Anolis sagrei: one gene and its partners. The protein of the gene in region 2 purifies or fractionates together with the protein of the main gene of each other region. This does not show direct contact. Links are inferred from orthologs where the notes say so. Each region holds a gene or a part of one and is shown on either strand. Other genes may lie near its edges. The genes, in order: KIF5A, KLC2, KIF5C and KIF5B.

Evidence for each region.
Region 1: the proteins of KLC2 (region 2) and KIF5A purify together in Homo sapiens (affinity purification with western blotting; 3 studies listed by BioGRID and IntAct, with this or other methods). This does not show direct contact. The link is inferred for Anolis sagrei from reciprocal best matches to the Homo sapiens genes KLC2 and KIF5A.
Region 3: the proteins of KLC2 (region 2) and KIF5C purify together in Homo sapiens (affinity purification with western blotting; 3 studies listed by BioGRID and IntAct, with this or other methods). This does not show direct contact. The link is inferred for Anolis sagrei from reciprocal best matches to the Homo sapiens genes KLC2 and KIF5C.
Region 4: the proteins of KLC2 (region 2) and KIF5B fractionate together in Homo sapiens (co-fractionation; 7 studies listed by BioGRID and IntAct, with this or other methods). This does not show direct contact. The link is inferred for Anolis sagrei from reciprocal best matches to the Homo sapiens genes KLC2 and KIF5B.

The regions. Positions count from the first base shown.
Region 1 is NC_090022.1:186,121,644-186,129,890, reverse strand, and holds the start of KIF5A (kinesin heavy chain), read right to left. Parts: upstream 3,290-8,247; 5' UTR 2,943-3,289; coding exon 2,814-2,942; intron 1-2,813. UniProt on the Homo sapiens protein: Microtubule-dependent motor required for slow axonal transport of neurofilament proteins (NFH, NFM and NFL). Can induce formation of neurite-like membrane protrusions in non-neuronal cells in a ZFYVE27-dependent manner.
Region 2 is NC_090032.1:14,553,234-14,560,787, forward strand, and holds the start of KLC2 (kinesin light chain 2), read right to left. Parts: upstream 3,132-7,554; 5' UTR 3,041-3,131; exon of another isoform or gene 3,017-3,040; intron 1-3,016. UniProt on the Homo sapiens protein: Kinesin is a microtubule-associated force-producing protein that plays a role in organelle transport. The light chain functions in coupling of cargo to the heavy chain or in the modulation of its ATPase activity.
Region 3 is NC_090021.1:206,189,215-206,196,657, forward strand, and holds the start of KIF5C (kinesin heavy chain), read right to left. Parts: upstream 3,448-7,443; 5' UTR 2,631-3,447; coding exon 2,505-2,630; intron 1-2,504. UniProt on the Homo sapiens protein: Microtubule-associated force-producing protein that may play a role in organelle transport. Has ATPase activity. Involved in synaptic transmission. Mediates dendritic trafficking of mRNAs.
Region 4 is NC_090026.1:112,333,050-112,340,789, forward strand, and holds the start of KIF5B (kinesin-1 heavy chain), read right to left. Parts: upstream 3,536-7,740; 5' UTR 3,305-3,535; coding exon 3,179-3,304; intron 1-3,178. UniProt on the Homo sapiens protein: Microtubule-dependent motor required for normal distribution of mitochondria and lysosomes. Can induce formation of neurite-like membrane protrusions in non-neuronal cells in a ZFYVE27-dependent manner.

The DNA of each region.
Region 1 (8,247 bases), on a different chromosome or scaffold from region 2:
AAAAAAAATAGGAAAGAAGACTCAGGCTCTAGCAGAAAGCAGATTGATGGCTTTCTCTGCAGCAAAAGCATAGCAAGGCACTCAGAAACCACAGAGAGATGAGCTGCCAACTAGGGGTTGTGGTGCCGGTGGGGAAGATGGCCCAAGTTCTAATTCCACAAATGGCTAGGTCACCTTGAGCAGGTCCTTCAGATTTAGGGGTGTGGGTTGTCACTTGCTCATCACAGCTGCACAAGCCGTGGTCAATGGATCAATGGTCAAAGGATGAAGTTGAGATAGGGCACACTCACATCAGTTGGCCGGCCATACAAAGCAGATAACCGACTCATTTCACAACCACACACTCAGCAGCGTGTCCCTCTCTGCAATAAAACAGTTGCATGAGGAGATGTCAGCACCATTGTTGGGCATAGCACCAGCAAGTTGGCACTGGGAGCATAACCATGTTCATCCCCTTGGGGGAAAAACGCATTACCACCCTTCCTTCTACTCTGACAGATGGTGGATTTAGCAACGGGAAAATCCAAACAATCAGCAGGTTGAAAGCCCAGAACGGTACCAAGTGGCAAGCACAAGGACCACAGGGACAAGCTTCAGGGGCGTTGCCATTTCCGAGTAAACAACCTCCAGGCGCCTTAGCTAGCCACCTGCACCATTTTAGCCCTGATCTTTATACTGCACAGATGGAAGTCAGTATGGAATATTTCACTGGATTATGGATAAGAGCAGGGGGGGTTTAAAAAATTACAGGTGGTGTGTAAGCAGGGGACCTTTGGGCATTTTGGGAATGTTAACCTCAGGAGGCGCAAGCAGACTAGCTGCTAGAAGGATGGAGTCTTAAGGTTTGGAAAGGCAAGATAACATATGGGCCGTGTGATGGATGGACAGTCAGAAAGGAAAGTGGCTTGTAGATTCCCTCCCAGCTCCCAAGGGCTCTTTTCTTCCCAGTGGCCAAACCAACAGCCCAGCTAGCCACACCCAGCTGACCAAGCCTGCAGAGCTAAGGAGGGAGGCAGTAATGGCACAAAAATGGAAGCAGATACTCCAAGCATCCTTCCCTGCTACCGGTTTTCAGAGAGTGATAGGTGGAGCATGTTTATACAAATGGATTTTCAAGTCGAAAAGACAATTTCTTAAAGGTGGAGGGGGAATGTTGAGCTGAGGGGTTTCATAAGGAAACAAGCAGCTTGTATCAAGATCACAGAACTGAATGGACGCCTTGGGAGAGGATCGATGTGGAGCGTAAGAGCAATCCATAGGGAGCAGGCCTCCCAATTTTCCCCAACACACACACACAGAAAGGAAGAGTGGGAAGAGAGGGATGGAGGTGGACAGAAAGAGAGAGGTGGAGAGAGAGGCCCCTTCCACACAGCTGTATAAAATTCACATTGAGCTGGATTATATGGCAGTGTGGACTCATAACCCAGTTCAAAGCAGATATTGTGGATTATCTGCCTTGATATTCTGAGTTATTATGGATGTGTGGAAGGGCCCAGAGAGGGAGAAAGAGGGTAAGAGAGAAAGGTAGAAAAGGGAAGAGAGAGAAGGAGAGAGAGAAAGGTGGGAAAGAGAGAAAAGGAGAGAGGGGGAAAGGGGGAGAGGGGGAGAGAAAAAGAGAAAGGGGAGAGGGAGAAAAGGGAAGAGAAAGATGGAGAGAGAAAAAGAGGGAAAGAGAAAAGGAGAAAGGGAGAATGCGGGGAGAGAGAAAGAGAAAAGGAGAAAGGGAGAAAAAGGAAGGAAGAGATGGGGAGAAAAAGGTGGGAAAGAGAGAAAGGAGAAAGGGAGAAGAGGGGGGTTGAAAGAGAGAAAGGGAGAGAGGGAGAAAAGGGAAAAGAGAGATTGAGAGAGAAAAAGAGGGAGAGAAAAGGAGAGAGGGAGAAAGGGGGATAGAGAAAGAGAAAGGGAGGAAGAAAAGGGGGAAAAGACAGGAATGGAGAGAGGGAGAAAGAGAGGAAGATGGAGGGAGAGAAAGAGAAAAGAAATATGGAAAGAGAAAAGGGGGAAGGAAGGGGGAGATGGAGAGAGTGAAAGAGAGAAAGGAAGAGAGGGAGGAAAGAAGGAGAGGGAGAGAAAGGGAGAAAAGGAGAAAAGGGGAAAGAGGAAGGAAGGTAAATGGGAAACTGAGAGAGAAAAGGGGGGAGAGGTGAGAGAGAAAGAGGAAAATAGAGAAAGGGAGAAAAAGGGAGAGAGCAAAGGTGGGAAAGAGAGAAAGGGAGAGGGAGAAAAGGGAAGAGGCAGAGAGAGAGGGGGGTGGAGAGAGAAAAAGAAGGAGAAAGAAGTGGGTACACAGGCCCCTTCCACACAGCTGTATAAAATCCACATTGAACTGGATGATATGACAGTGTGGGCTCAGATAGTTCAAAGCAGATACTGTGGATTATCGGCCTTGATATTCTGGGTTAATATGGCTATGCAGAAGGGCCACACAGAGAAAGGTGGGGAGAGAGATGGATTGGGAAAAGGGGGAGAGAGAAAAGGATGGGGGAGAAAGGTGGGGAGAAGTGGAGAGAAAGAGAGGGGGGAAAAAGGAGGGAGGGATGGAGAGAAAGGGTTATATATGCAGAAAGCGACAGAGACAGAGGGCCCTTCCACACAGCCCTATATCCCAGAATATCATGGCAGAAAATCCCACAATATCTGATAATGTGGGATTTCCTGATTTGATATTCTGGGATATAAGGCTGTGTGGAAGGGCACCCAGTTCAAAGCAGATATGGTGGGATTTGCTGCCTTGATATTGTGGGATAATACAGGGCTGTGTGGAAGGGCCCAGAGACCCCCACCGGCCCACCTCTTCCTCGCCCTTCACTCACCCCAATGATGACGGTGTCATCGCCTTGGAAAACCGGGATGAATTTATCCCCCCGGATGATCTCCGACTGATTCAAGGGCCTGAAGCGACAGAGCACTTTGATGCTGCATTCATTGACTTCCGTCGTCATGCTGGCGGGTGGAGGCTCTCCTTTGCGAGGGTGGAAGAAAGAGGGGCGGCGAGGGCTTGGAGTGGGGTGCGATTCCCGGGGAAAGGCGCAGGAGGGCAGAGAGAGGAGGGCGAGCGATGGGCGAGCCTGGTTCCCTGCCTGTCACCCCCCAGCAGCAGCAGAGCGGCGAGGCTCTCTCTGGGCTGGGCTGGCGCTCCTCCTGCTGCAGGCTCTGCTCCCGGGATGCTGCTCTGCCTGAGTCCTCCTCCTCCTGGTGCTCTTGCTGCAACTGATGCTTGCGGCGCTTGGATCTCTCTCCTCCCTCCTTCCCCTCCTGCTGCAGACACCGGCAGCAGCAGCAGCAGGCAAAGGGCTGGGCTGGAGGAGAGGTCCAATGGTACCGCTTTTAAGGAGGAGCCATCTCCTCGGCCTTAAGGTGGTATGTCATTGAACATTGAGAAAACCAAAATGCTGTTCCAGCAGTCACCAGCCAACCCCTTTCCAATGCCAGAGATACAGCTTAATGGTGTAACATTAGAAAATGTTGACCATTTCCGCTACCTTGGCAGTCACCTCTCCACCAAAGTCAACATGGACACCGAAATACAACACCGCCTGAGCTCTGCGAGTGCAGCATTTTTCCAAATGAAGCAGAGAGTGTTTGAGGACCGGGACATACGTAGGGATATTATTAAACTTTATTTGTACCCCGCTAGCATCTCCCAAAGGATTCGATGCGGCTTACACAGGCCAAGGCCTCAACAACACAACATAACAGTACAATCAAGCAAATCAAACAATTAAAAACAAAATAAAGCAAAGTAAACAGTAGGCACAATACATTAAAACACAATAAAACTGGGCCGGGCCAAAAAGTGGGTACAAGAATTAAAAGTGCTGGTTTGACAGGAGGTGTATAAAGGGTTTCTAGGGCAAGTGCGATGTGCGGTGTGCAGCAATCATTGGTTCTGGTAAAGTGCTTGTGGGACTCAGTAGTGAAGATTTCCTAATCTGGGAAGGCGCATCGGAAAAGCCAGATTTTTAGGTTCTTTCTGAAGACAGCCAATGACGGGGCCTGTATAAGGTCTTTGGGGAGGGTGTTCCAGAGTTGGGGGGCCACCACGGAAAAGGCCCTGTCCCGTGTCCCCACCAAGCGCGCTTGCGACGCCAGTGGGATCACGAGCAGGGCCTCTCCAGATGACCGAAGAGAACGCGTGGGTTCGTAGATGGAAATGCGGTCACGCAGGTAGGCCGGTCCCAAACCGTTTAGGGCTTTGAAGGTAAGCAAGGTGCTTGTTTATAAAGCTATTGTCCTCCCAACCCTGTTATATGCCTGCGAAACGTGGACTGTCTACAGACGTCACATGCAACTCCTGGAACAATTCCATCAGCGCTGCCTCCGGAAAATCCTGCAAATCCCTTGGAAAGACAGGCGGACAAACGTCAGCATGTTGGAAGAAACAAAGACCACCAGCATTGAAGCAATGCTCCTCCGCCATCAACTCCACTGGACCGGCCACATTGTCCAGACACCCGACCACCGTCTCCCAAAGCAGTTGCTCCACTCCGAACTCAAGAACGGAAAATGGAATGTTGGTGGACAGGAAAAGAGATTTCAAGATAGGCTCAAGGCCAACCTTAAAAACTCTGGCATGGATACAGAGAACTGGGAAGCCCTGGCCCTTGAGTGCTCCAGCTGGAGGTCAGCTGTGACCAGTAGTGCTGCAGAATTTGAAGAGGCACGAATGGAGGGTGAAAGAGAGAAACGTGCCAAGAGGAAGGCGTGTCAAGCCAACCCCAACTGAGACCGCCTTCCACCTGGAAACCAATGCCCTCACTGAGGAAGGAGACGTAGATCAAGAATAGGGCTCCACAGCCACATAACGGACCCACAAGAATACTGATCCTGGAAGACTATCCTACTCGGCCAACGAGGGACCGCCTAAGTAAGTAAGAAAGTAAGTAAGGGAAGGCTGAGCAGAGAACTACCCCCATCCTCCCCCCCCCCATTAAAAACAACTCTAGCAGCCCCCTCACACCCTCCCCCTTGTTTGGCAATTTAACTATGTTACACCACCTTGGCTTCAGGATCAGGATGCTGCTGCATAACTTGGGCACAAGGAATCGGCATGCCATGATGTCCTTTATTAATTGGCCAAGGGCAAGCCATACGCTTTCAGCCCTGGAAAATCCAGTGATAGGTTTCCCTAACTTGGTTGTTGTTGTTTATTCGTTCAGTCGCTTCCAACTCTTCATCATTGTTGCACTCCAGGTCAGGGAAATGCCCTCTGACTTTAAAACACACCACACAATGAGTGAAGAAACAAATCTTTATATATATATATATATATATATATATATATATATATATATATACACACACACACACACACACACACACACACACACTAGCTTTCCCCTGCCATGCGTTGCTGTGGCCCACATGGGGGTTCTGTGTGGGAGGTTTGACCCAATTCTATCATTGGTGGTGTTCAGAATGCTCTTTGATTGTAGTGACCTATAAATCCCAGCAACTACAACTCCCAAATGTCAAGATTCTATTTTCCCCAAACTCCACCAGTGTTCATATTTGGGCATATTGAGTATTCGTGCCAAGTTTCGTCCAGATCCATCACTGTTTGAGTCCACAGTGATCTCTGGATGTAGGTGAATTACAACTCCAAAACCAAAGGACACTGCCCACCAAACCCTCCCAGTATTTTCTGTTGATCATGGGAGAATTGTGTGCCAAGTTTGGTTCAATTGCATCGTTGGTGGGGTTCAAAATGCTCTTTGATTTTAGGTGAACTATAAATCCCAGCAACTACAACTCCCAAAAGACAAAATCATATTTTTTGCATGAAGGACATACATTGGGTTGTTAAGTGTCTTGTGTCCAAATTTGGTGTCAATTTGTCCAGTAGGTTTTGAGTTCTGTTAATGCCACAAACGAACATTACATTTTTATTTATATAGATATATAAATTTTTATTGAAAGAATATAGTTACAAGGAAAGTGGGGGAATATTGTGTAGAAATCAGTTGGCCCCTTCCACACAGCCATATATTCCAGTTCAAAGCAGAACCTGTGGGATTTTATTTAGCTGTGTGGAAGGGGCCTAAGGTGTTGGCCTTTTCACTCCTGGTGCTATTGGCACTCACCTCTACCCATATTCGCTCCCATTTACAGACTGCCACAAACAAAACAATTGGATCATTAAAAAAAAAGAGAGAGTCAAAGTGGACATGGGTTTGCATAACATGCAAATTTGAAAATTATCACTATATATATAGTCAAAGTATGATTGGTTTGCACATTTGGCCCACAAAGGCTCCTATGTGGCTTAATAGATCTACATCAAACTTGGCACATATACCCTTTATTATTCAACTTAAAATAATTGAGGGATTCAAACTAAAAACACATCTCTTTCGGGCTCAGTACAGAAAGAAAGAAAAGGAACAAAGTATTGGCTGTTGCTAGGTGTTGTGGCCTCTGTGATGTCACTGAGGGCCCATCTACACTGCCATATAACGCAGAATATCAAGGCAGATAATCCACAATATTTGCTTTGAACTGGATTATCTGAGTCCACACTGCCATATAATCCAGTTCAACATGGATTTTATACAGCTGTGTGGAAGGGGCCTGTGGAAGGAAGGGAGTGAAACAGCTTGGATTCTATTAGGAAACATATGTATTGGGAAAGTGAGGAAGGGAGGAAGGAAAGAAAGGAAGGAAGAAAGAAAGAAAGAAAGAGGAAGGAAGGAAGAGAAAGGAAGGAAGGAAGGAAGGAAGGAAGGGAAGGAAGAAGGGGGAGGTTTTTTGAGGGAAAGCAAAAGATGAAGGAAGAAATGAGAGAAAGGAAAGTGAGAGGAAGAAGGTGTATGAAGGAAACAGGGAAAAGAAGGCAAGATAGAATATGTCCACCATTGCCAGAGCATTGCCATGAAGACATTGTGAAGTAAGTCTTCTCAGAGCTGGAGAAGGGAGAAAGCAGATGGGCAGCAAACCCTTTGACATCCAGGCAACACCCGGTATATATGCAAGCTTCAATAGAAATCTTAGCTATCTCAACACAGTGGAGAAATCTCCAATCTGGTGACCTCTGTGTTGTCCAAACGTTAACTGTGGGTAGGCAACTTTAAACTGCTAGTCCTTCCAGCTGTTCTTTCCAATGGTTCTTCATATTTAAACTGGATGTGTACAAACAGAGGATACCTTCAGAGAGGATCATCCTTTAGAAAGCTGGCCACACACCCACCTTGGTATATACATTACAATAATCCAAGATACTCCACTCTTTGTTCGGCCTCTCAGTCCTCTGAGTAATGCTCTAGTCTGGAAGATGGGCATACAGTAAACCTTTTAATCATCATTACTGCTTACTCTTCCAGGAAATAAGCAGCCATTTAGACAGATGTAGCAAAACCGAACAATCAGATTGAGCTGACATGTGAAGGAAAAACAATACCAGAAATGCAGTTATTTTTAGGGAGGATGGTAGTAGCACTAGCATCAGGCCCTAAGCGAGCCAAGAGCATAGCTGCTGCAATGATTTGCCAACTAGTTTCATTTCTTCCAGATGAGTTGAGTTGAATGAAGCTTAAAAAATTATGTCTGGGACCGGATCTACACTGCCATAATAATACATTTTCAGAATGCTAATTAATGGCATTTAACTGAATCCTATGAGTCTACACTGCCATATATGGAGCCCTCAGTGGTGTAGCAGGTTAAACCACTGAGCTGCGGAACTTGTTGACCGAAAGGTCACAGGTTTGAATCTGGGGAGCGCCGTGAGCACCCGCTGTCAGCTCCAGCTTCTGTCAAGCTAGCAGTTCGAAAACATGCAAATGTGAGTAGATCAATAGGTACCACTTCTGTGGTAAGGTAACGGCACTCCATACAGTCATGTCAGTCACATGACCTTGGAGGCGTCTACAGACAATTCCGGCTCTTCGGCTTAGAAATGGAGATGAGCACCAACCCCTAGAGTTGGACACAACTGGACTTAATGACAGGGGAAAACCTTTACCTTTATTTATTTATTCACGTTATTTATTTATTTACGTTACTTTTATCCCGCCCATATCAGCCCGAAGGCGACTTAGGGCAGCATACAAATTGGCACAATTAGATGCCACATATAAATACATACATTGGTTAAAAACAAAAAAAATCACATCATAATACATTTAAAACCATAAAAGCAATAAACAATAAAAATTATAAAAACTATGTCTTTACCTTACACTGCCATACAATCCAGTTCAATGCAGACAATCTGCATTCTGAAATTTCATTATATGGCAGTGTAGATTC
Region 2 (7,554 bases):
AAATAAATAAATAAATGCACAAGCAGGTGTCCAAAAAAAGCTGACCAAAATGATCAAAAAGCCTGGAAACAATGAATCCTTATGAGGAGCAGCTTAGGAAGCTGGGAATGTTTAGCTTGGAAAGAGAAGGTTGAGAAAAGGGGATGTGAGAGCCATGTTTATAAATTATAGAATCATAGGGTTGGAAGAGACCTCGTGGGCCATCCAGTCCAACCCCATTCTGCCAAGAAGCAGGAATATTGCATTCAAATCACCCCTGAGAGATGGCCATCCAGCCTCTGTTTAAAAGCTTCCAAAGAAGGAGCCTCCACCACACTCCGGGGCAGAGAGTTCCACTGCTGAACGGCTCTCACAATCATGAAGTTCTTCCTCATGTTCAGATGGAATCTCCTCTCTTGTCGTTTGAAGCCATTGTTCCGCGCCCTAGTCTCCAAGGAAGCAGAAAACAAGCTTGCTCCCTCCTCCCTGTGGCTTCCTCTCACATATTTATACACGGCTATCATATCTCCTCTCAGCCTTCTCTTCTTCAGGCTAAACATGCCCAGCTCCTTTAGCCGCTCCTCATAGGGCTTGTTCTCCAGACCTTTTATCATTTTAGTCGCTCTCCTCTGGACACATTCCAGCTTGTCAATATCTCTCTTCAATTGTGGTGCCCAGAATTGGACACAATATTCCAGATGTGGTCTAACCAAAGAGGGGTAGCATGACTTCCCTCGATCTAGACACTATGCTCCTATTGATGCAGGCCAAAATCCCATTGGCTTCTTTTGCCGCCACATCACATTGTTGGCTCATGTTTAACTTGTTGTCCACGAGGACTCCAAGATCTTTTTCACACGTACTGCTCTCGAGCCAGGCATTGTCCCCCATTCTGTATCTTTACATTTCGTTTTTCCTGCCAAAGTGGAGTATCTGGCATTTGTCACTGTTGAACTTCATTTTGTTAGTTTTGGCCAATCATCTCTCTAATCTGTCAAGATCGTTTTGAATCCTGCTCCTGTCCTCTGGAGTATATCCCTCCCAATTTGGTATCCTCCTCCAACTCTTACGATTCTATGATACGTCTCTCTCTCGATTATATTGACAAGCTGGAATGTGTCCAGAGGAGGGCAACTAAAATGATAAGGGTCTGGAGAACAAGCCCTATGAGCTTAAGGAGCTGGGCATGTCTAGCCTGAAGAAGGGAAGGCTGAGAGGAGATATGATAGCCATGTATAAATATGTGAGAGGAAGTCACAGGGAGGAGGGAGCAAGCTTGTTTTCTGCTTCCTTGGAGACTAGGACGCAATGGAACAATGGCTTCAAACTACAAGAGAGGAGATTCCATCTGAACATGAGGAAGAACTTCCTGACTGTGAGAGCCGTTCAGCAGTGGAACTCTCTGCCCCGGAGTGTGGTGGAGGCTCCTTCTTTGGAAGCTTTTAAACAGAGGCTGGATGGCCATCTGTCAGGGGTGATTTGAATGCAATATTCCTGCTTCTTGGCAGAATGGGGTTGGACTGGATGGCCCATGAGGTCTCTTCCAACTTTTTGATTCTATGATTCTATGATCCTATCTGATCAGCTCTGGTGCTCTGGAGACAATGGAAGGAAAGGTTTAAAGTTGCAAACCAAGAGATTCCTCCTAAACACTAGGAAGAATTCAAGTGGAATATGTTGTCTGGGCGTCTAGCGGAATCTGTAAACAGAGGCTGGGTGGCCATCTGTCGGGAGGGCTTTGATGGTGTCTTCCTGCCTGGTGGAGATGGGGTCCCTTCCAACTATAAGATCCTATAAGGATGATGACAATGGAGTCTCCTTCTTGGGAGGTTTCAAAGCAGAAGTTGGATGACCATCTGTCGGGAGGGCTTTGATGGTGTCTTCCTGCCTGGTGGAGATGGGGTCCCTTCCAACTATAAGATCCTATAAGGATGATGACGATGGAGTCTCCTTCTTGGGAGGTTTTAAAGCAGAAGTTGGATGGCCATCTGTCAGGAGGGCTTTGATGGTGTCTTCCTGCCTGGTGGAGATGGGGTCCCTTCCAACTATAAGATCCTATAATGATGATGATGATGGAGTCCCCTTCTTGGAAGGTTTTAAAGCAGAAGTTGGATGGCCATCTGTCAGGAGGGCTTTGATGGTGTCTTCCTGCCTGGTGGAGAAGGGGTACCTTCCAACTATAATATCCTTTAAGGATGATGACGATGGAGTCTCCTTCTTGGGAGGTTTCAAAGCAGAAGTTGGATGACCATCTGTCGGGACGGCTTTGATGGTGTCTTCCTGCCTGGTGGAGATGGGGTCCCTTCCAACTCTAAGATCCTATAATGATGATGATAATGGAGTCCCCTTCTTGGGAGGTTTAAAGCAAAAGTAGGATGGCCATCTGTCGGGAGGGCTCTTGTCTGCTTGAGGCAAGTGCGAACGTTGCCATTGGCCAGCTTGATTAGCACTGAAGGGCCTTGCAGCTTCAAAGGCTGGCTGTTTGCTGCTATGGCAGGCATAGAGGTGGAAGAGGCAGAAGGGGGCTGGGCTGGGTGCCCACCATATGTCTATCTCAATCATATCTATTCCTGGCTGTGTGGACATCTGTCTGGAGGGCTTGGATGGTGTCCTCCTGTCAGGCAGAAACAGGTTGGACTGAATGGTCCTTGGGGGTCTCTAGGTGTTTTTTGGTCTTCTTTCAAGTTCTAGAGCAGGTTTGGGCCCTCCAGGTGTTTTGGACTTCAACTCCCACAATTCCTAGCGGCCTCAGGCCCCGAGGCCTGAGGCCGCTAGGAATTGTGGGAGTTGAAGTCCAAAACACCTGGAGGGCCCAAACCTGCTCTAGAGGTAAGGCTCTTTTGTTGTGTGTTGCCAAGACATCAACTTCTGGCTCTGCGTCGACTGCCCAGCTCCCCATTTCCTCAAGCCTAGGCCCAAAGCCCCCCAATTCCTTCCCCATTTTGGGGGTCTCCCTCCAATCCAGCCACTCCAAACCCAAGCAGGACCCTTCCCCTCCTCTCCAAAAACCCCCTCCCCACCCCAAAAAGGGCCCTACCTGCGCGCGCAGCTTTTCTCTCACCCGCAGCCTCTCTCTCTCTCTCTCTCTCTCTCTCTCTCGACGCAGGTGCTTCTCCCTCACAGGCTTCCCGGCAGGCACTGCGGCACCGGCAGCCGCTCGGCCCCGCCCCAAAACAACCTCCTTAAAGGGGAGGGCCCAAGACAACCTCCTTAAAGGGGAGGGCGGCTCCTTCTTTTCTGTCGGAGGATAAGTAACCTCCCTTTCTTGACTTATTTATTTATATACTAGTCATCCCCTGCCACGCGTTGCTGTGGATCTGTGTGGGAGGTTTGGCCCAATTCTATCGTTGGTGGGACTTCAGAATGCTCTGTGATTGTAGTTGAACTGTAAATCCCAGCAACTACAACTCCCAAATGACAAAATCATTTTTTTGAGTGAAGGACATAGATTGCTTTGTGTGCAGTCTTGTGTCCAAATTTGGTGTCCAGTGGTTTTTCAGTTATGCTCCTTGATTGTAGGTGAACTATAAATCCCGGCAACTACAACTCCCAAATGTCAAGATTCTATTTTCCCCAAACTCCACCATTGTTCACATTTGGGCATATTGAGTATTCGTGTAGAGTTTGGTCCAGATCCATCATTGTTTGAGTCCAGAGTGATCTCTGGATGTAGGTGAACTACAACTCCAAAACCCTTCCAGTATTTTCTGTTGGTCATGGGAGTCTTAATGAGACATGCCGCATTATCACAGGGTGTCTGCGCCCCACACCACTGGAGAAATTACACTGCTTAGCCAGTATTGCACCACCTGACATCCGCCGGGAAGTAGCAGCCAATAGTGAAAGGACCAAGGCAGAGACATCTCCAGCTCATCCCTTGTTTGGGTATCAGCCAGCACGTCAACGACTTAAATCAAGACATAGTTTTCTAAGGTCTACAGAGACACTCGCTGGAACACCCCAGCAAGCGAGGGTCCAAAAGTGGCAGGCCCAAACCCAGGACCTCAATCCATGGGTGATACCAAATGAGAGACTCCCCCCTGGACACACAGAAGACTGGGCGACTTGGAAGGCGCTGAACAGACTGCGCTCTGGCACCACGAGATGCAGAGGCAATCTTGAGAAATGGGGCTACAAAGTGGAATCCACAACATGCGAGTGGGGAGAAGAGCAAACCACAGACCACCTGCTGCAATGCAACCTGAGCCCAGCCACATGCACAATGGAGGACCTTCTCGCGGCAACCCCAGAGGCACTCCAAGTGGCCAGATACTGGTCAAAGCACATTTAACCAACTACCAAGTTTGCAAAATCTGTGTTTTTTCTTTTGCGTGTGTGTTTGTTTGTTTTTTAATCTGTGTGTTTGTTTTGTTCTATTAGAATTGTAATACAATGGTATGGTTGCTGATGACACGATAAATAAATAAATCATCCAACCACAGATCTGTTATAAGTGGTTTTAGGGCAGCATTTTCCAACCTGGGGATCGGGATCCCTGGGAGGTCGCAAGGGAGAGGGGGGGGGTGTCTGAGGAGTCACCAAAGACAATCAGAAAACACAGTATTTTCTATTGTTCATGGGAAATTTCGCCCAATTCTATTATTGGTGGGGCTCAGAATGCTCTTTGATTGTGGGTGAACTATAAATCCCAGCAACTACAACTCCCAAATGTCAAGGTCTATTTCCCCCAAACTCCTCCAGGGTTCACATTTGGGCATATTGAGTATCTGAGCCAAGTTTGTGCCAAATTTGGTCGAGTAACTGAAAATACCTCCTGCATATCAGATATATACCTGACAATTAAGAGTAGATGTGGCTTATTTATTTATTTATTTATTTACTTTATTTGTATACCGCAGTTTCTCAGCCCGTAGGCGACTCAATGCGGTTAACAACAAGAGCAATAATTCAATACTAACAACACATACTATTTAAAAACAATTAACACCATAATATAATAAGTAATTACATATCAATAACAACACATTAACATCTCGTAACTAGAATCATGATCCATCTCGTCATCCATAAATTCCGTTTTTCTATATTCATTGTATTCATTGCACTATTTATCCAAACGCCTGTTCAAATAGCCAGGTTTTCAGTTTTCTTCGAAACACCATCAAAGAGGGGGCAGATCTAATGTTCATGGGAAGGGCATTCCACAGCCAAGGGGCCACCACTGAGAAGGCCCTGTATCTCGTCCCCGCCAAACGTGCCTGTGATGCAGGCGAGATCGAGAGCAGGGCCTCCCCAGAAGATATTAAAGTCCTGGTGGGTTCATAGGCGGAGATATGTTCGGATAGGTAACTTGGGCCAGAACCGTTTAGGGCTTTATAGGCCAACGCCAGCACTTTGAATTGTGCCCAGTAGCAAATTGGTAGCCAATGGACAAAATGACAAAATCAATTTTTTTGAGTGAAGGACATACATTGGGTTGTTAGGTGTCTTGTGTCCAAATTTGGTGTCAATTCGCCCAGTGGTTTTTGAGTTGTTAATCCCACAAACGAACATTACATTTTTATTTATATAGATTATTATCCTTACTATTATTATGTTCTATTGATTTCGGCTTCCAGAGATACATCTTTTATATACAGAGATGTATGCAGCTTTTAGTGGGACAAGAACTGGAACTTGACTGATGAGATTGTTTTATGGTTTTAATAACTGTTTTGATATTTGATGATGTACTGTTTTTAATATGATTTATGTTTAAACAAACAAATTGAAATTGAATCCAGACAAGACAGAGGTACTCCTGGTTAGTCGCAAGGCCGAACAGGGCATAGGGTTACAGCCTGTGTTGGATGGGGCCGCACGCCCCTTGAAGACGCAGGTTCGCAGCTTGGGAGTGAGCCTGGACTCATCGCTGAGCCTGGAAACCCAGGTTTCAGCGGTGACCAGGGGAGCATTTGCACATCTAAAGCTTGTGCGCCAGCTGCCCCCGTATCTTGGGAAGTCTGACTTGGCCACGGTAGTCCACGCTCTAGTTACATCCCGTTTAGACTACTGCAACGCTCTCTACGTGGGATTGCCTTTGAAGACGGCTCGGAAGCTCCAACTAGTCCAACGCTCGGCAGCCATGTTACTAACAGGAGCGGAGCGCAGGGAGCATACAACTCCTCTGCTGCACCAGCTCCACTGGCTGCCGATTTGCTACCGGGCTCAATTCAAAGTGCTGGCGTTGGCCTATAAAGCCCTAAACGGTTCTGGCCCAAGCTACCTATCCGAACGTATCTCTGCCTATGAACCCACCAGGACTCTAAGATCTTCTGGGGAGGCCCTGCTCTCGATCCTGCCTGCATCACAAGCACGGCTGGCGGGGACGAGGGACAGGGCCTTCTCTGTGGTGGCCCCTCGGCTGTGGAACGCCCTTCCCATGGACATTAGATCAGCCCCTTCGTTAATGGTGTTTCGAAGAAAACTAAAAACCTGGCTATTTGAACAGGCGTTCGGATAAACAGTGCAATGAATACGATGAATATAGGAAAACGGAATTACGGATGACGAATTGGATCACGATTCTAGTTACGAGACGTTAATGTGTTGTTTATTGATGTGTCATTACTTTGTATATTATGCTGTTAATGGTTTTTTAAATATTGTATGTTGTTAGGATTGACTTTTTGCTCTTGATGTGAACCGCGTTGAGTCACCTACGGGCTGAGAAACTGCGGTATACAAGCAAAGTAAATAAATAAATAAATAAATAAATAAATAAACTGTGGTTTTAATATTGTAGTTGTATTTGTCAGGGGTGATTTGAATGCAATATTCCTGCTTCTTGGCAGGGGGGTGGACTGGATAGCCCATGAGGTCTCTTCCAACTCTTTGATTCTATGATTCTATGATTCTAAGGCATTGAATTTTAGAATCATAGAATCATAGAATCAAAGAGTTGGAAGAGACCTCATGGGCCATCCAGTCCAACCCCCTGCCAATATTGCATTCAAATCACCCCTGACAAATGGCCATCCAGCCTCTGCTTAAAAGCTTCCAAAGAAGGAGCCTCCACCACACTCCAGGGCAGAGAGTTCCACTGCTGAACGGCTCTCACAGTCAGGAAGTTCTTCCTCATGTTCAGATGGAATCTCCTCTCTTGTAGTTTGAAGCCATTGTTCCGCGTCCTAGTCTCCAAGGAAGCAGAAAACAAGCTTGCTCCCTCCTCCCTGTGGCTTCCTCTCACATATTTATACATGGCTATCGTATCTCCTCTCAGCCTTCTCTTCTTCAGGCTAAACATGCCCAGTTCCCTAAGCCGCTCCTCATAGGGCTTGTTCTCCAGACCCTTGATCATTTTAGTCGCCCTCCTCTGGACACATTCCAGCTTGTCAATATCTCTCTTGAATTGTGGTGCCCAGAATTGGACACAATATTCCAGATGTGGTCTAACCAAAGAAGAATAGAGAGGTAGCATGACTTCCTTAGATCTAGACACTATGCTCCTATTGATGCAGGCCAAAATCCCATTGGCTTTTTTTTGGCGCCACATCACATTGTTGGCTCATGTTTAACTTGTTGTCCATGAGGACTCCAAGATCTTTTTCACACGTACTGCTCTCGAGCCAGGCG
Region 3 (7,443 bases), on a different chromosome or scaffold from region 2:
ATTCTTAGGATTTATTTAGAAATTCTTGCCTTCTTAACTCCAGAATTTACCCATTGTATATTTACCCTTAAGGATAAGACTCCAGTTATCTCTTGGCATGCATTACGTCCCCCTCCCATCCCAAATACTTATCCCACGGTGAATGTTTGTCTTGAAAATGAACCACCTGACACTTTATTGTATTTGTATGTCCAACCTAGGCCCACACCTCCACTGAAAAACTACTTTTCACGCAAATGCTATGTATTTTAATATATGTATTTTATATGTTTTATAGGCATATGAATGTTATGGTGTGTATTTTATGTGATGTAACAGTGTTGTAAACTGCCTCAAGCCGTGAGGAGAGGTGGATAACAAATAAATATATTGTTGTTGTTATCATTAACAACTTTTCTTTCATGTCAGGAATGACTTGAGAAACTGCAAGTCGCTTCTGGTGTGAGAGAATTGGCTGTCTGCAAGGATGTTGCCCAGGGGACGCCCGGAAGTTTTACCATCCTGTGGGAGGCTTCTCTCATGTCCCCACATAAGAAGCTGGAGCTGACAGACAGGAGCTCACCCAGCTCCCCAGATTCGAACTGCCAACCTTTCAGTTAACCGTCCTGCCGGCACAAGGGTTTTAACCCAGTGCGCCACCGGGGGCTCAATGATCATCAATGTTTTGTTGAAGGCTTTCATGACTGGAATCACAGGGCTGCTGTGAGTTTTTTGGGCTGTATGGCCATGCTCCAGTAGCAATTGGACAATTACAGCATCATCACTGTAATTGTGTAAGCTCACATTCATATTCCCCACACCCAATAATGCCACAACTCTTCTTTCCACCTTTGTCATCTTATTCCCACCAACAGCATCATATCACATCACAGTATGAAGTCTTAACCCCAACTTTGAGTGCTAAGGAAGGCGGGGGGGGGGGGGGGGAGTAATAAAGAACACCTACAACCTTTGTTTTTCCATACCAGGGGTAAGAGATGATGCTGATCTTTATTTATATAGCACCATCCAGTGTGGCTGATGTTTTACAGAACCAAAACCATGGGCCTCATCCCTACACCTATTTACTTGGGGGAGAGTCCCATTGAATGTCATTACCATGATCAAACTAAGCCAATAATGTGTTGACAAAGGCTTTCATGGCCAGAATTACTGGGTTTCTGTGAGTTTTCCAGGCTGTATGGCCATGTTCCAGAAGCATTCTCTTCTGACATTTCACCCACATCTATGGCAGGCATCCTCAGAGGTCGTGAGGTCTGTTGGAAACTAGACAAGGGAAGTTTATATATCTGTGAAAGGTCCAGGGTGGGAGAAAGAACTCGTTTGTTGGAGGCAGGTGTGAATGTTTCAATTGGCCACCTTGATTAGCATCGAATAGCTTTGTAGTTTCAAAGCCTGGCTGCTTCCTGCCTGGGGGAATCCTTTGTTGGGAGTTGTTGGGAAAATTCCTGTCTGGAATTCTCCCATGTTCAGAGTGTTGTTCTTTCTTTACTGTCCTAATTTTAGAGTGTTTTTTTAAAAATACTGGTAGCCAGATTTTGTTCCTTTTCATGGTTTCCTCCTTTCTGCTGAAATTGTCCACATGCTTGTGGATTTCAATGGCTTCTCTGTGTAGCCTGACATGGTGGTTGTGAGAGTGGTCCAGCCAATAATGTAGCAATGTAGCAAGAGATTTCCTTTGGATATAGGTTTCTCCAAGGCTCTCCAAGACACCACCCCTTCATCTGGCAGGTTCCTACTGCTGCCAAGGACATACCCATTCCCCTCTCCAATATTTGCATCTACAGAGGGAAGGCAAGCCTGTGCAACGCCACTGCCTAACAAACCAACCTGATAAAGTGGAAACATTGAATATATATATTTAAAAACACCCAATATAACACCAAGTGAAGAGATTGATGTGTTGTCGAAGACCAGAATCAATGGGTTGCGGTGAGTCTTCTGGGCTGTATGTCCATATTCCAGAAGCATTCTCTCCTGACATTTTGCCAACAGACTCCTCAACCTCAGAGGATGCCTGCCATAGATGTGGGCGAAACGTCAGGAGAGAATGCTTCTGGAACATGGCCAGACAGCCTGGAAACATTCACAGCATCCTGAAAAGATTGATACCTATGATCAAAATATCCCAGACTAGAAAACAACATCATGTTAAGATTCCAAATCCGAAATGTCAGAGGAAAACAGGATGCCGACTTTGGCCGCACATCTCCATGGAGGGCCCTTCCGATGCCTTCCTCCTGGGCTTGGAGGTGAAAGGCTCCCCCAAAAGGCGACCCACCCACCCACTTACTCAGCCTCCCCGCTCCCCAATTCCCTTCCAAGGAAGGCCAGGGATGGGAACAATGGGCGGAGGGAGAGAGGGAGGGAGGGAAGAAGGAAAGGCGCACAATGCAGAGCCGCCCAAAGGGACACCCAAAAAGAAAAAGGAGAGAGATGCTGGTGAAGGAAGCAAAGGAGAGGGAGAGGGAGAGGGGGGATCCGGGGGGGGGGGAGGGTCTTACCCCGACCACGACGGTGTCCTCGCCTTTGAATTTGGAGACGAATTTGTCCCCGCGGAGGATCTCGGCCTCGTTGAGGGGACGGAACCGGCACATGACTTTGATGCTGCACTCGGCCGGGTCCGCCATGGCAGCAGAAGCAGGAGGAAGAAGAGGAGGAGGAAGGAAGAGAGAGAGAGAAGGAAGGGGGAAGAGAGGGAGGGGGTAAGGGGGAGGAGGAAGGGAAGGAGAGGAAGAGGAGAAGGAGAAAGAGAAGAAGGAAGAGAGGGGAAGGAGGATGGGAGGAGGTAAGGATGAGGAGGAAGAAAGAGGAGGAAAGGAGGAGGAAGAATGGGGGTGGAGGTGAAAGAGAAGGACGAGGAAGAGAAGGAGAAGAAAGAGGAGGAAGAATGGGCTGGAGGTGAAAGAGAAGAAGGACGAGGAAGAGAAGGAGGAAAGGGGGGAAAGAAGAGGAGGAAAGGAGGAGGAAGGGAAAGAGAGGAGAAGGAGAGAGGAGAAGGAAGAGGAAAGGAGACTAGGGGGTGGAGGAGAAAGGGAAGGAGGAAGAGGAGGAGGGGAAGAAGAAGAAGGGAAAAGGGGGAGGAAAGGAGGAGAAGAAGGGGAAGAAGGAAAAGGAAGGAGGAGGAAGACTAGGGAGTGGAGGAGAAAGGGAAGGAGGAAGAGGGGAAGGAGGAGGAAGACTAGGGGGTGGAGGAAGAGGAGGAGGATGTTCCCCCTGGCTTCCCTCCCCTTTGAGGCTGCGGTGCCCAGCCCGCTCTTCTTTGGGGCGTCCGAAGGTCCCTGCCCCTCTTCCTTGCTTTTCTCCTTTCCTTCTTCCTTCTCCTCCTCTTCCTCAGCCCTTGGCAGGTTCTCCTGCCTCGGCCACCATCCTGCCTCCCCGCCGGCGGAGCACCTCCTCACTCTCTCTCTCTCTCTCTCTCTCTCTCTCTCCCTCAGCCTCCCAGCCTCTCTTTCTCCCGCTCCGCCTCCATCCAGGGCTTTGTGACTTCACCGCATTACATCAACCCTCCTCCTCCTCCTCCCTACAAAGCGGGCTCATCCCTGAGAGTTGTGCTTCTGCCCGCCACCAGCAGGGGGGGATAGAGAGCAGCGGAGAAGCTCAGTGCGGGTCTGCCATTCCTGGCCAAGGAGGGCAACAACTCTGGGGACCTGGTGCACTTTGGCACTTCTTTTGACTCCTCGATTGTGGTGAAGACCCAATCCTCTTTGGCAGAGGAAGCTAGAGACCTTGTAAAACCACAGCTCCCAGCATAGAGCCAGAGCAGTGGGATCAAATGGTCTTAGCTCTCCACTGCTTGATCATTTAATACACAGGGGATACAATTGATACTATGATATCTTGCAGCAGGAGGGTAGAATAGACATGGGCAAACTTTGGCCCTCCAGGTGTTTTGGGCTGCAACTTCCACAATTCCTAACAGCCGTGGGATTTACACTTTGGAGGCAAAGAGCACTGTTTGGAAATTCCTGCCAAACCGTTACAATGGTGTCACAAAGATACGAAAATTGTGTTTCATTTGGTTTTACTGTCTGTCACAATGACTAACATCCATGGGATTTCTGCTTTGGAGGCAAAGATCACTGGTTCCTGCCAAACAGTCCACACTGCCATATATTCCAGTTGAAAGCAGAAAATGTGGGATATTATTCAGCTGTGTGGAAGGGGCCTCTGACCCCATCTACACTGCCATATAATCTATGTTCTGAATGCACAATATCTGCTTTAAACTGGATTAAATGGCAGTGTAGATTCATAATCGAGTTTAAAGCAAATAATCTGCATTCAGAAACTGGATTTTATCATCAGTATAGATGGGGCCTATGGCTCCTTCTACACTACAGAATTAATTTAAGCTTGACACCACTTTAATTGCCATCCCTCAATGCTATGGAATCATAGGAGTTTGAGTTTAGTGAGACACCATCAGAGAAAACTAAAGCCCTTGCCAAACTACAGTTTCCAAGATCTCATAGCATTGAGTTAAAGTAGTGTCCAACTTCATTAATTTTAAAATGTAGACACACCTTTAGATTACCATAAGATGCCTTGCATCCTCCAAATTTTGTTGGGCTCCTCTAACTCCCAATATGCCCAGTTTGCTTTGCTAGCTAGGCCTGCTCTGAGTTGCAGTGTAATAACATCTGGAACATATCCCGATTCCCACTTTGGTGGTAATAAGACATTAGGGACTACTCAAAACATGCCTAGTGTAATCAATAATGCTTTGGCTCCAGCTGTATGCTACACATTCAGGTTGCTAAAATGGAAAGCAAAGTCTATTACTCATAAGAATCACCTGATAATATATAATGGAAAATATTTTTAAAAACACATTTGAATCCCTACTCTTTGTTCCGATGTTCTGTAACATCTATGGTCTCTTTCAATTTTGGCTAATTATAATACTTGGGCACCACTTTAACTGCCATTGCTCCATCCCATGGAATATCGGGATTTACAGTTTGGGAAGACACTACAGCTTCATATTTGAGAATTCTTCATGCATCACAAAACTAAAAGTCAGTGGAATCATGGGCAATTAAAACTGGCGTCAAAGTGATATAATTATCCAGTGCAAAAGAGATCAACATCCAATGTTGCTTGTAAAAAGTTCATGGAAAATATTTCCAGGGAAATACTGACCATGATGATCTTTCAGCCTGCCATTGCAGTGTCACCTGCTGTAGCCAAAGCCTGTAACATTTCTGAGATAGTTCTGGGTTTTATATTGTAAGTCCATCTCTTTTGTACTCATTGTCCTTTGCCTCATATCCATGAGCTAGCATATGCTTTGACAGTTTCCATTCCTCAAGAGAACATTTTAAATGTGTGAATAATCAAATCTTCAAAGGTCAAAACCACAAATTTATTTATCGTAGCAGGAGCGAACCAAGGGCACAGCCGCCATGCATTTAAAAAACAGAGTTTAATAAAGCTTGGCACCATATCAAAAGTCCCTTGACCAGTAGCTGACCACCTGGAGTTGCCACTGTCATGCAACAGGTGTTCTGTGATCTGCTCCTCTCCACACTCGCATGCCGTGGACTCCACTTTGAGGCCCCATGTCTTAAGATTGGCTCTGCACCTCGTGGCTCCTGAGCGCAGTCTGTTCAGCACCTTCCAAGTCACTCCGTCTTCTGTGTATCCAGGAGGGAGTCTCCCATTTGGTATCAGCCATGGATTGAGGTTCCGGGTTTTAGCCTGCCACTTTTGGACTCTCACTTGCTGAGGTGTTCCTGCAAGTATCTCTGTAGCTCTTAGAAAACTATTTCTTGATTTAAGCCTTTGGCCAGTATTGCACCACCTGACATCCTCCGGGAAGTAGCAGCCAATAATGAAAGGATCAAGGCAGAGACATCTCCAGCCCATCCCTTGTTTGGGTATCAGCCAGTATGCCAATGCCTTAAAACCACAAATGTGGACAACTGCATACTTTGTACAGGATGCCCCTTGAGATAAAGCTGTGCCAGTAAATTCCAGGTGAGGAGGCTTGCTACTCTATTGTTGGAAGAAAGGCATTCTGTGCTTCACCCAAGCAGAAGAGCAGGAGGGGGAATCCGGCAATGCTATAAGAATGCTCTCTGCCAGCAAATTAATCACGAAGATTACCTAAAATCTATTACATTTTCAGATGCCTTTCATTGCTTCCAGAATGAGGAAGGCATATTCATAGTCTTGTCCTAAAGTATTTATTATTCATATGTATGGAAAAATTAAACTGGAGAGTAATATGCATTCTTTACATCAAGCTCTCCATGAACATGAACATTTGGGGAAAGGTCCTTCAGTTCAGATCTGGTTCAACTAAAGGATATCGCTCCCAAGAATGAAGTAGCTGTGTACATATTATTAACCTTCTAATATGCAAGCATCATAGAAGTCAAGAATAGATAGATGATGGTGCAAAATCACTGAGAATGAGTTAGTGATTTCTTAGAACTTAAGTACTTTATAGATAGGCCTGCAAAATCTGTAGCCTTCCAGATGGTGGTGGTCTATAACGCCCATTCTGACAATGGTGTGAGGTTAATATTGCAGATCAGCATCAACATCCATATGTCCGTATGGAGGACATGAGAGAAGCCTCCCTGCAGGATTGTAACACATCCAGTTGTCTCCTGGGCAATGTCTCCGTAGACAGTTGACATCAGAAGTGACTTGCAGTATGCAACCAGCCAAACAAACATCCATATGCCCCTCATTTCTGCTATATACAAAGACATCATATGGCGCAGTAAAGCAAACATGATATAGTCTTACACAAAAAGCCTTCCAGGTAGGCAATTTGTTACCTGTCAAGTGGTCTTATTTTACAAATCTTAATGCTATTAGTCCAAAATACATTTTTGTCCAAAAACCTTGTCTCAATAATATAGAACATAAATATTGTTAATACATAGCTAGGAAGCAGTCCTGAGTATCCATGGATTCTACATCCAAGGATCCAAGTACCTATTTTTATTTATTTTACAGTATTTATATTCTGCCCTTCTCACCCTGCAGGGGACTCAGGGTGTACATATATATGGCAAACATTCAATGCCATAGACACACAACATATATAGACAGACACACAGAGGCTATTTAACATTCCAGCTTTCTTGAGGATATTCTGGCCACCAGGGGATCTTTCGCTTCATCGTCCATTAGTGACAATGATGGGAGTACTTCCTCATTCTTTTTGCATGGTTGCTGGAGATTTTTATGGCGTTGTAAATTAGTTAAATTAGCCTGCCCACATAACCATAAATTTCCTACTTGACAGATGGAACTGTCTTTCGGGCTGCAAAGGTTGACAACAAGCTTCACAATGTTCGGAAGCTCACTCCAACCCCGGCTGGCTTTGAACTCATGACCTTTTGGTCAGTAGTGATCTTAATGCAGCTGACTCCCAGCCAGCTGCGCCACAGTCCCAGTACCTAGGTCTTGAATTAATATACA
Region 4 (7,740 bases), on a different chromosome or scaffold from region 2:
TCTATCAGCTCCAGCTCCTCATGCGGGGACATGAGAGAAGCCTCCCACAAGAATGATAAAAACATCAAAATCATCTGGGCGTCCCCTGGGCAACGTCCTTGCAGACGGCCAATTCTCTCACACCAGAAGCGACTTGCAGTTTCTCAAGTCACTCCTGACATGACAAAAAAAACAAAAACCAAGTCATTGATAAAGATGTTGAACAGCACTGAGCCCATGACAGACCCCACTGATCCACTCTCTCTGGAATGCAGAGAAGCCATTGGATACAAGCACTCTTAAGCCAGTCACCCAATCCCCAATCCATCTAATAATAATATCGTCTAGCCCAGGCATGGGCAAACCTACTGGCTGTTAGGAATTGTGGGAGTTAAAATCCAAAACACCCAGAGGGCCAAAGTTTGCCCATGTCTGGTCTAGCCAACATTTTATTAGCTTCTTTATGAGAACGTTACGGGGGACCTTATCAAAGACCTTACTGAAATTGAGATATGCTATGCCTACAGAATTCCCTTCATCTACCAAGCTTCTCTGAGAGAGAAAGAGATAAGATTTGTCTGGCTTGGCCTGTTCATGGGAAACCCTTGATGACTTTTTGTAATTGTCTGTTTAATATGCTGCTCCAGAATTTTCCTGATATTGATGTCAGACTGACTGGGCGGTCATTATTGGGTCCTCCTCCCCCCCCCCCCCTTTTAGAGATGGAGCCAACATTTAACTTCTTCCAGTCTGCTGGAACATTCCCTCAAAGATTGCCAGTGGTTCTGAAATTACTTCTGCGGGCTATTTCCTGACATGCACAATTTGGATAAGAACACCTTCTATTCCATCCCAAAGGCCCAAATCCCAAGCATTTTAGGAAACATGGGAGACTTAGGCTGATCTACACTAGGCATGGGCAAACTTCAGCCCTCCAGGTGTTATGGACTTCAACTCCCACAATTGTGAGAGTTGAAATCCAAAATACCCGGAGGGCCAAAGTTTGCCCATGCCTGACCTACACTGCCATACAACGCAGTTTATGCAGTATCTACACTGTCATACAATACAATGGATTTGATGTGCTATCTTAGCCGGCTTTTAATGGTTCAAATGTTGATTATTTATTTAAATTCCTTGCTTTAATTTGTGTAATGTATTTTATTGTTGTTTATATTTTTGTACTTCTGTACAAAATACCCATTACTCAACATGATCCAAGACTCCACTGAGCAACATGTCCTTGTCTACAATATGCCCCATTGTGCAATGGGGCCCTCATGTGCAAAAGAACATTATTACAATTTATTAGCATGGTATCTTATTATATTACTAAAAGTGGCTCAATGTAAAATAAATCACATGTAGTTGACATTTGATCAGTCCACATACTGTCTTACCAGAGAAAGACAATATGTCATGCAGATTATCGGTAATTCAGAACAACATATTTACAGGGTTGTTGTAGGTTTTTCCGGGCTATATGGCCATGTTGTGGAAGCGATTTTTCTCCTGACGTTTTGCCTACATCTATGGCAAGCATCCTGAGGATGCTTGCCATAGATGCGGGCGAAACATCAGGAAAAAAATCGCCTCCACAACATGGCCATATAGCCCGGAAAAACCTACAACAACCCAGTGATTCCGGCCATGAAAGCCTTCGACAATACATTGAACATATTTACAATCATACAATCAGTTGGACTGACTCAAATAATGTCCTTTTAGAGAGATTTAAAATGGTCTTTCTTTGTGGAGAATCTTCTTTCTGGCAGTTCATGAAGCAAGAACATACTCCAAACTGTCTCTCTCTCTCTCTGCTTCTCTGCAAGCACCTGCATAGCTCAAGTCCAAAATATGTAACAGTAACTCAAAGTCCCTGCTTCAGCCAACTCCCCAGGCATAGCCCAACCATTCTGTTTTACACAGACACTGAATGTCTGCCTTTATTATGTTGGAAGCCGCCCTGAGTCCCCTTGGGGAGATATGGCAGGCTACACATAAAGTTGTTGTTGTTGTTGTTGTTATTATTATTATTATTATTATTATCAGTATGCAATCTGAACTGGATTATATGACAGTGGAAACTCATACAAGGCATTTAAAGAATGATTGACAACTGGGAAATAGAGGGAGAAAACGTGGAGGCCGTGACTTTGTATTTCTAGGCGCAAAGATTACTGCAGATGCAGACTGTGGCCAGGAAATCAGAAGACGTTTACTTCTTGGGAGGAGAGCAACGTCCAGTCTCGATAAAATAATAAAGAGTAGAGACATCACACTGGCAACAAAGATCTGCCTAGTCAAAGCCATGGTATTCCCTGTAGTAACCTACGGATGTGAGAGCTGGACCTTAGGGAAGGCTGAGCGAAGGAAGATAGATGCTTTTGAGCTGTGGTGCTGGAGGAAAGTGCTGAGAGTGCCTTGGACTGCGAGAAGATCCAACCAGTCCATCCTCCAGGAAATAAAGCCCGGCTGCTCACTGGAGGGAAGGATACTAGAGACAAAGTTGAAGTACTTTGGCCACATCATGAGGAGACAGCAAAGCCTAGAGAAGACAATTATGCTGGGGAAAGTGGAAGGCAAAAGGAAGAGGGGCCGACCATGGGCAAGATGGATGGATGGCATCCTTGAAGTGACTGGACTGACCTTGAAGGAGCTGGGGGTGGTGACGGCCAACAGGGAGCTCTGGCGTGGGCTGGTCCATGAAGTCACGAAGAGTCGGAGACGACTGAACGAATGAACAACAACAACAACATAGGGCGGTGTGGATCACAGCGTGGCTTGTGACTGGGGCCCCTTTCCACATAAAACCCCACATTATCTGCTTTGAACTGGGATATATGGCCGTGTGGGCTCAGGGCCTTTCCACAAAGCCTTATAACCCAGAATATCAAGGCAGAATAACCCACAGCATCTTCTTTGAACTGGATTATCTGAGTCCACACTGCCATATATCCCAGTTGGGATTGTCTGCCTCGATATTCAGAGTTATATGACTGTGTGGAAGGGCCCTGGTGCCCTTTAATTCCTCCCTTCGGTTCCACAGAAGGCCGACTCTTGCCTCTAGGCCCCACCAATGGCTTTTCTCCCTCCCTCCTCTGCTTTCGGCCCATTGAGGCCTCGCAGCCGCCGCCCAGGCTCTCCTTTCCCAGAGGCCTCTCTCCGCCTAAGCGCTTCCCTCGACGCTTCAACTCACCGCAATGACAACAGTGTCCTCGGCCTGGAACTTGGCGATGTACTTGTCGCCTCGGGTCACTTCGGAATCGTTGAGGGGCCTGAAGCGACACATCACTTTGATGTTGCACTCCGCCGGGTCCGCCATCTTAGGCCTCAGCCGCCGCCTCCTCCTCTTCCCTCAGCGTCCAGTCAGGCCCAGCGCCCGCCTCGCCCCGACGCCAGGCAACCTCTCCCCGGACTGAGGAGCCGGGCCAGTGTCCGAAGAATGGCGGAGGGCTCCCGCTCCGCCCAGGCCTCCTCTTCCTCCTCCTCCTGCACTCACTTCCTTTCCAATATGGCCGCCATGGCGGCACCTGCAGCCGGCGAATCCGGGCCCCGCCCCTCCTGCGCGCGCGGGGGGCGTGGCTAACGGCCGGGCAGGGAGAAGGTGACGTCACCGTCTGCGGCAAGCGGTACTGCGCAGGCGCAATGGCGAACCCACTTCGGCGACATGTCTTCCTTCCAAACAGAGAAGTCCTGTCAGCAAGTCCGGGAGGAGAGATCTAACGCGCAGGCGCAAAAGGAGGAAACTCGAAAGCAGAGGCGAGAACTTTGCTGCGCATGCGCGGACTATTTAGCGGGAAGTCTGGCAAGGATTCTAAGTCTTGGACTTGGAAAATCATTTGAAGTTAGTGCGGTCGCTAGAAATAGTAATAATAATGCCTTATTTTTAATCCACCTTCTCTCCCCTAAGGGATTCAGGACGGCTTCCAAGAATTAAATTAAAATAAAATGGCAAACATTCAATGCCACATGCAAATAACAAAAGCATGTGGACAATTTTAACAGAAAGGAAGAGACCATGAAAATGAACAAAATCTGGCTACCAGTATTAAAAAAAACTCTAAAATTACAACAGCAAAACAACAGAGAGGAAACAACCAGGCACAGATTAGCACCTCCCAGCAAGAGATTTTCCCAGGCTCAGGCAGGCCTTCAAATGCTAATGAAGGAGATCAGCTAAACATTCACACCTAACTGCAGCAGGGAAGAGCTCCTTGCCCCACCCCAGCCATTCCACAGATATATAAACCCATTGTCCTAATTCCAACAGAACTCACTACCTCTGAGGATGCTTGCCATAGATGCAGGCGAAACGTCAGGAGAAATGCCTCTAGAACATGGCTCTATAGCCCGAAAAAACCCCACAAGAACCTAGTGATTCCAGCCATGAAAGCCTTCGACAATACAACAACAGTAAACATTGTCACTGACATATAATGACTGGTTGGAAAAGTGCTCTTTCAGCAGTCACCAGCCAACCCCTCTCCAATGCCAGAAATACAACTTAATGGTGTAACATTAGAAAATGTTGACCATTTCCGCTACCGTGGCAGCCACCTCTCCACAAAAGTCAATACTGACAACTGAAATTCAACACCGCCTGAGCTCTGCGAGTGCAGCATTTTTCCGAATGAAGCACAGAGTGTTTGAGGACTGGGACATCTGCAGGGATACCAAGGTGCTTGTTTATAAAGCTATTTTCCTCCCAACCCTGCTATACGCCTCCAAAACATGGACTATCTACACATGTCACATGCAACTCCATCAGTGTTGCCTCTGAAAAATCCTGCAAATCTCTTGGGAAGACAGGCGGACAAACGTCAGCGTGCTGGAAGAAGCAAAGACCACCAGCATTGAAGCGATGGTCCTCCGCCATCAACTTCGCTGGACCGGCTACGTTGTCTGAATGCCCGATCACTGTCTCCCAAAGCAGTTGCTCTACTCCAAACTCAAAAACGGGAAATGTAATGTTGGTGGACAGGAAAAAAGATTGAAAGATGGGCTCAAAGCCAACCTTAAACGCTGTGGCATAGACACAGAGAACTGGGAAGCCCTGGCCCTTGAGCGCTCTAGCTGGAGGTCAGCTGTGACCAGCAATACTGTAGAATTTGAAGAGGCAGGAATGGAGGGCGAAAGAGAGAAACGTGGCAAGAGGAAGGTGCATCAAGCCAACCCTAACCTTCCACCTGGAAACTAATGCCCTCACTGCAGGAGAAGATGCAGGTCAAGAATCAGGTGCCACAGCCACCTAGGTATCCATGGGCAAAACACATCACTTGGAGGACCATCATCCTTGGACTATGAGGGATCACCTAAGTATGTTAATAAGCCAATAACAATGAATGGGCAGAACAAACAATTACAATTCAGAGTGAATATAGACATTTAAACTCACCAAATCAAACAGCTTTAGCCAAACATACAGTCAGGCCTGGTAACACATTCAGCAGTTTAAATCTGTATACAACTTGAAGTATCAAAATATAAAAATGCTATCAAGGTAATCCTTGATAGCATTAATAGGCATTAATAGGAAATTCTGATGTCTTCCGTACAGAGATTGCAAGGCCCTTCCCACAGAACAAGATAAGACTATCTTCACAATATAATTAATGCAGTTTGACACCACTTTAACTGTCACGGCTCAATGCTCTGGGATCATGGAGTTGTAGTTTTATTAGGTCATTAGCTGCCTCTCCAAGGCAGTGGGTGCCTCACCAAACTACAAATCCCAATATTCTGCAGCATTGAGCCCTGGCAGTTAAAAACGTTTTTTTGTTTTTGTTTTTTCGTTTTAGGAGTGACTTGAGAAACTGCAAGTCGCTTCTGGTGTGAGAGAATTGGCCATCTGCAAGGATGTTGCCCAGGGGACGCCCGGATGTTTTGCCATCCTGTGGAAAGCTTCTCTCATGTCTCCACATGGGAAGCTGGAGCTGACAGATGGGAGCTCACTCCGCTCCCTGGATTTGAACCGTTGACCTTTCAGTCAGCAGTTCTACAAGCACAAGGTTTAACCCATTGCGCCACCAGGGGCTCCTTGTTAAAGTGATGTCAAACTGCATTAATTATGCAGTGCAGATGCACCCTAAGGCTTACTTCCTGCCTTAGCCTGAATATGAACCCAGACAGAAATTGATTTGTCTGTTTAATGTCATTCACTTTCTTCCTTAACTGGAGCACAAGGTGATTTATCAAATTAGAATCAGTGCAATTTAGCAAAAGTGTGTATATATATATATAGAGAGAGAGAGAGAGAGAGAGAGCAACCTTTCTCATTTGCACAGTGGTCAGATGCTGTTCAAACGAAAACTTAATCACAATGTAATTGCCGTATTGCTTTAATTGTCATCCAGGCAGATATTCTTTTTTCAAACCTGCAAGATATTCATGGATTTCAAAATGCCGTCTGCCCAGAGTTTATGGTTGGAAAATCAGTAGAATATTTTGTTTTGAGTATTCGTCTCTGGTTTACTTCTCTAATTCTTCAAAAAAAAGTTAATAATACTATACTACTTCTGCCTTTTTAAAAAATGCTCTATTTTTACCTCCGCTCAAAACAACCAAACCTTTGTGTTCAGCCCATAAAACTTCCTAATGGCCTAACAACCCCTAAAGGAAAACAATGGTTGTTGCTTACTTGTAGGAAAACCTAATATTATTGATATCACAGGACAGTTTTTTACTCTGGTAACAATGTCCTCCTAATGAATGTTTTATTACTTGAATGTAGTCCTTGGAGGCAAATTTTCCTCATGTGATATGCTGGTTTTCTTATCGGCTGGCCTGTTTAGAAGAAAGAGTGTTTGTGTATGCCTTACTCTGCTGAATTGTGCCAATGTATTTTAAGTCGTCATTTATTAGACCTACCAGTTTTCCATCAGATAAAGCAAGTTGGACTCCCCATTGCCCAGATAAATGTCTTCCTTTAAAACAGTTGTTCCCAACCTGTCGTTCGTTGACCAGCAGTGGTTTGCAAGAACTAAAATATGGTCCGTGACCTCACTGTTACTACATTGTTGCAACTAGAGTGACTGGTCTCGCGAAACCTTCTTATAGTGCCAAACTGTATTAAATATGGTTTTCTGTGGGTGAGCAGATGGCGACTACTGGATAGCATATATTCTGTATCAGAAACTAGAGGTGATGTGGTCTATCCAATGCAATTTTCTGAATCAGCACCCCAAATAACTAAACCAAATCTAAAGTTGTCCAAAAACTGATTCGTAACCCTATTGGGACTAATGTTGGAGAGTGGTCCCTGGTCAAAGTGGTCCCTGGTCAAGTCGTTCCTGATCAAAAAAAAAGGGCTGGGAACCACTGCTTTAGAAGATAGGATGTCTTAGCATTGTACTAGCACCATATTGTACATCACATTTTCCTGATTCACTTAGAGTACAGTGCTGGAATTTACATTTGCCTTTGAATTTCACTAGATATTCATTAATGGTTAGATCCATCCTTATTGTGTACCAGTTTCAAAACCAACCATAGACCACTTGCCTCTAAAGACAGCCAGTTTCATGTCCATCGTCACTCCTTTTTTCCACATCTTTTCTCACAAATGTCTTGAGAACTTCCCAAATCTTTCAAGGCTCATTTGATACAGTGGCATATTCCATTTAACTGATACTTTATATACAGGCAGTCCCCAAGATAGGTTCTGTAGGTTCATTCCTAAGTTGAATTTGTATGTAAGTGTAATTCCAGTGCACTCTCTCTCTCTGTATATGTGTGTGTGTGTGTGTTTGCGTGTGTGTG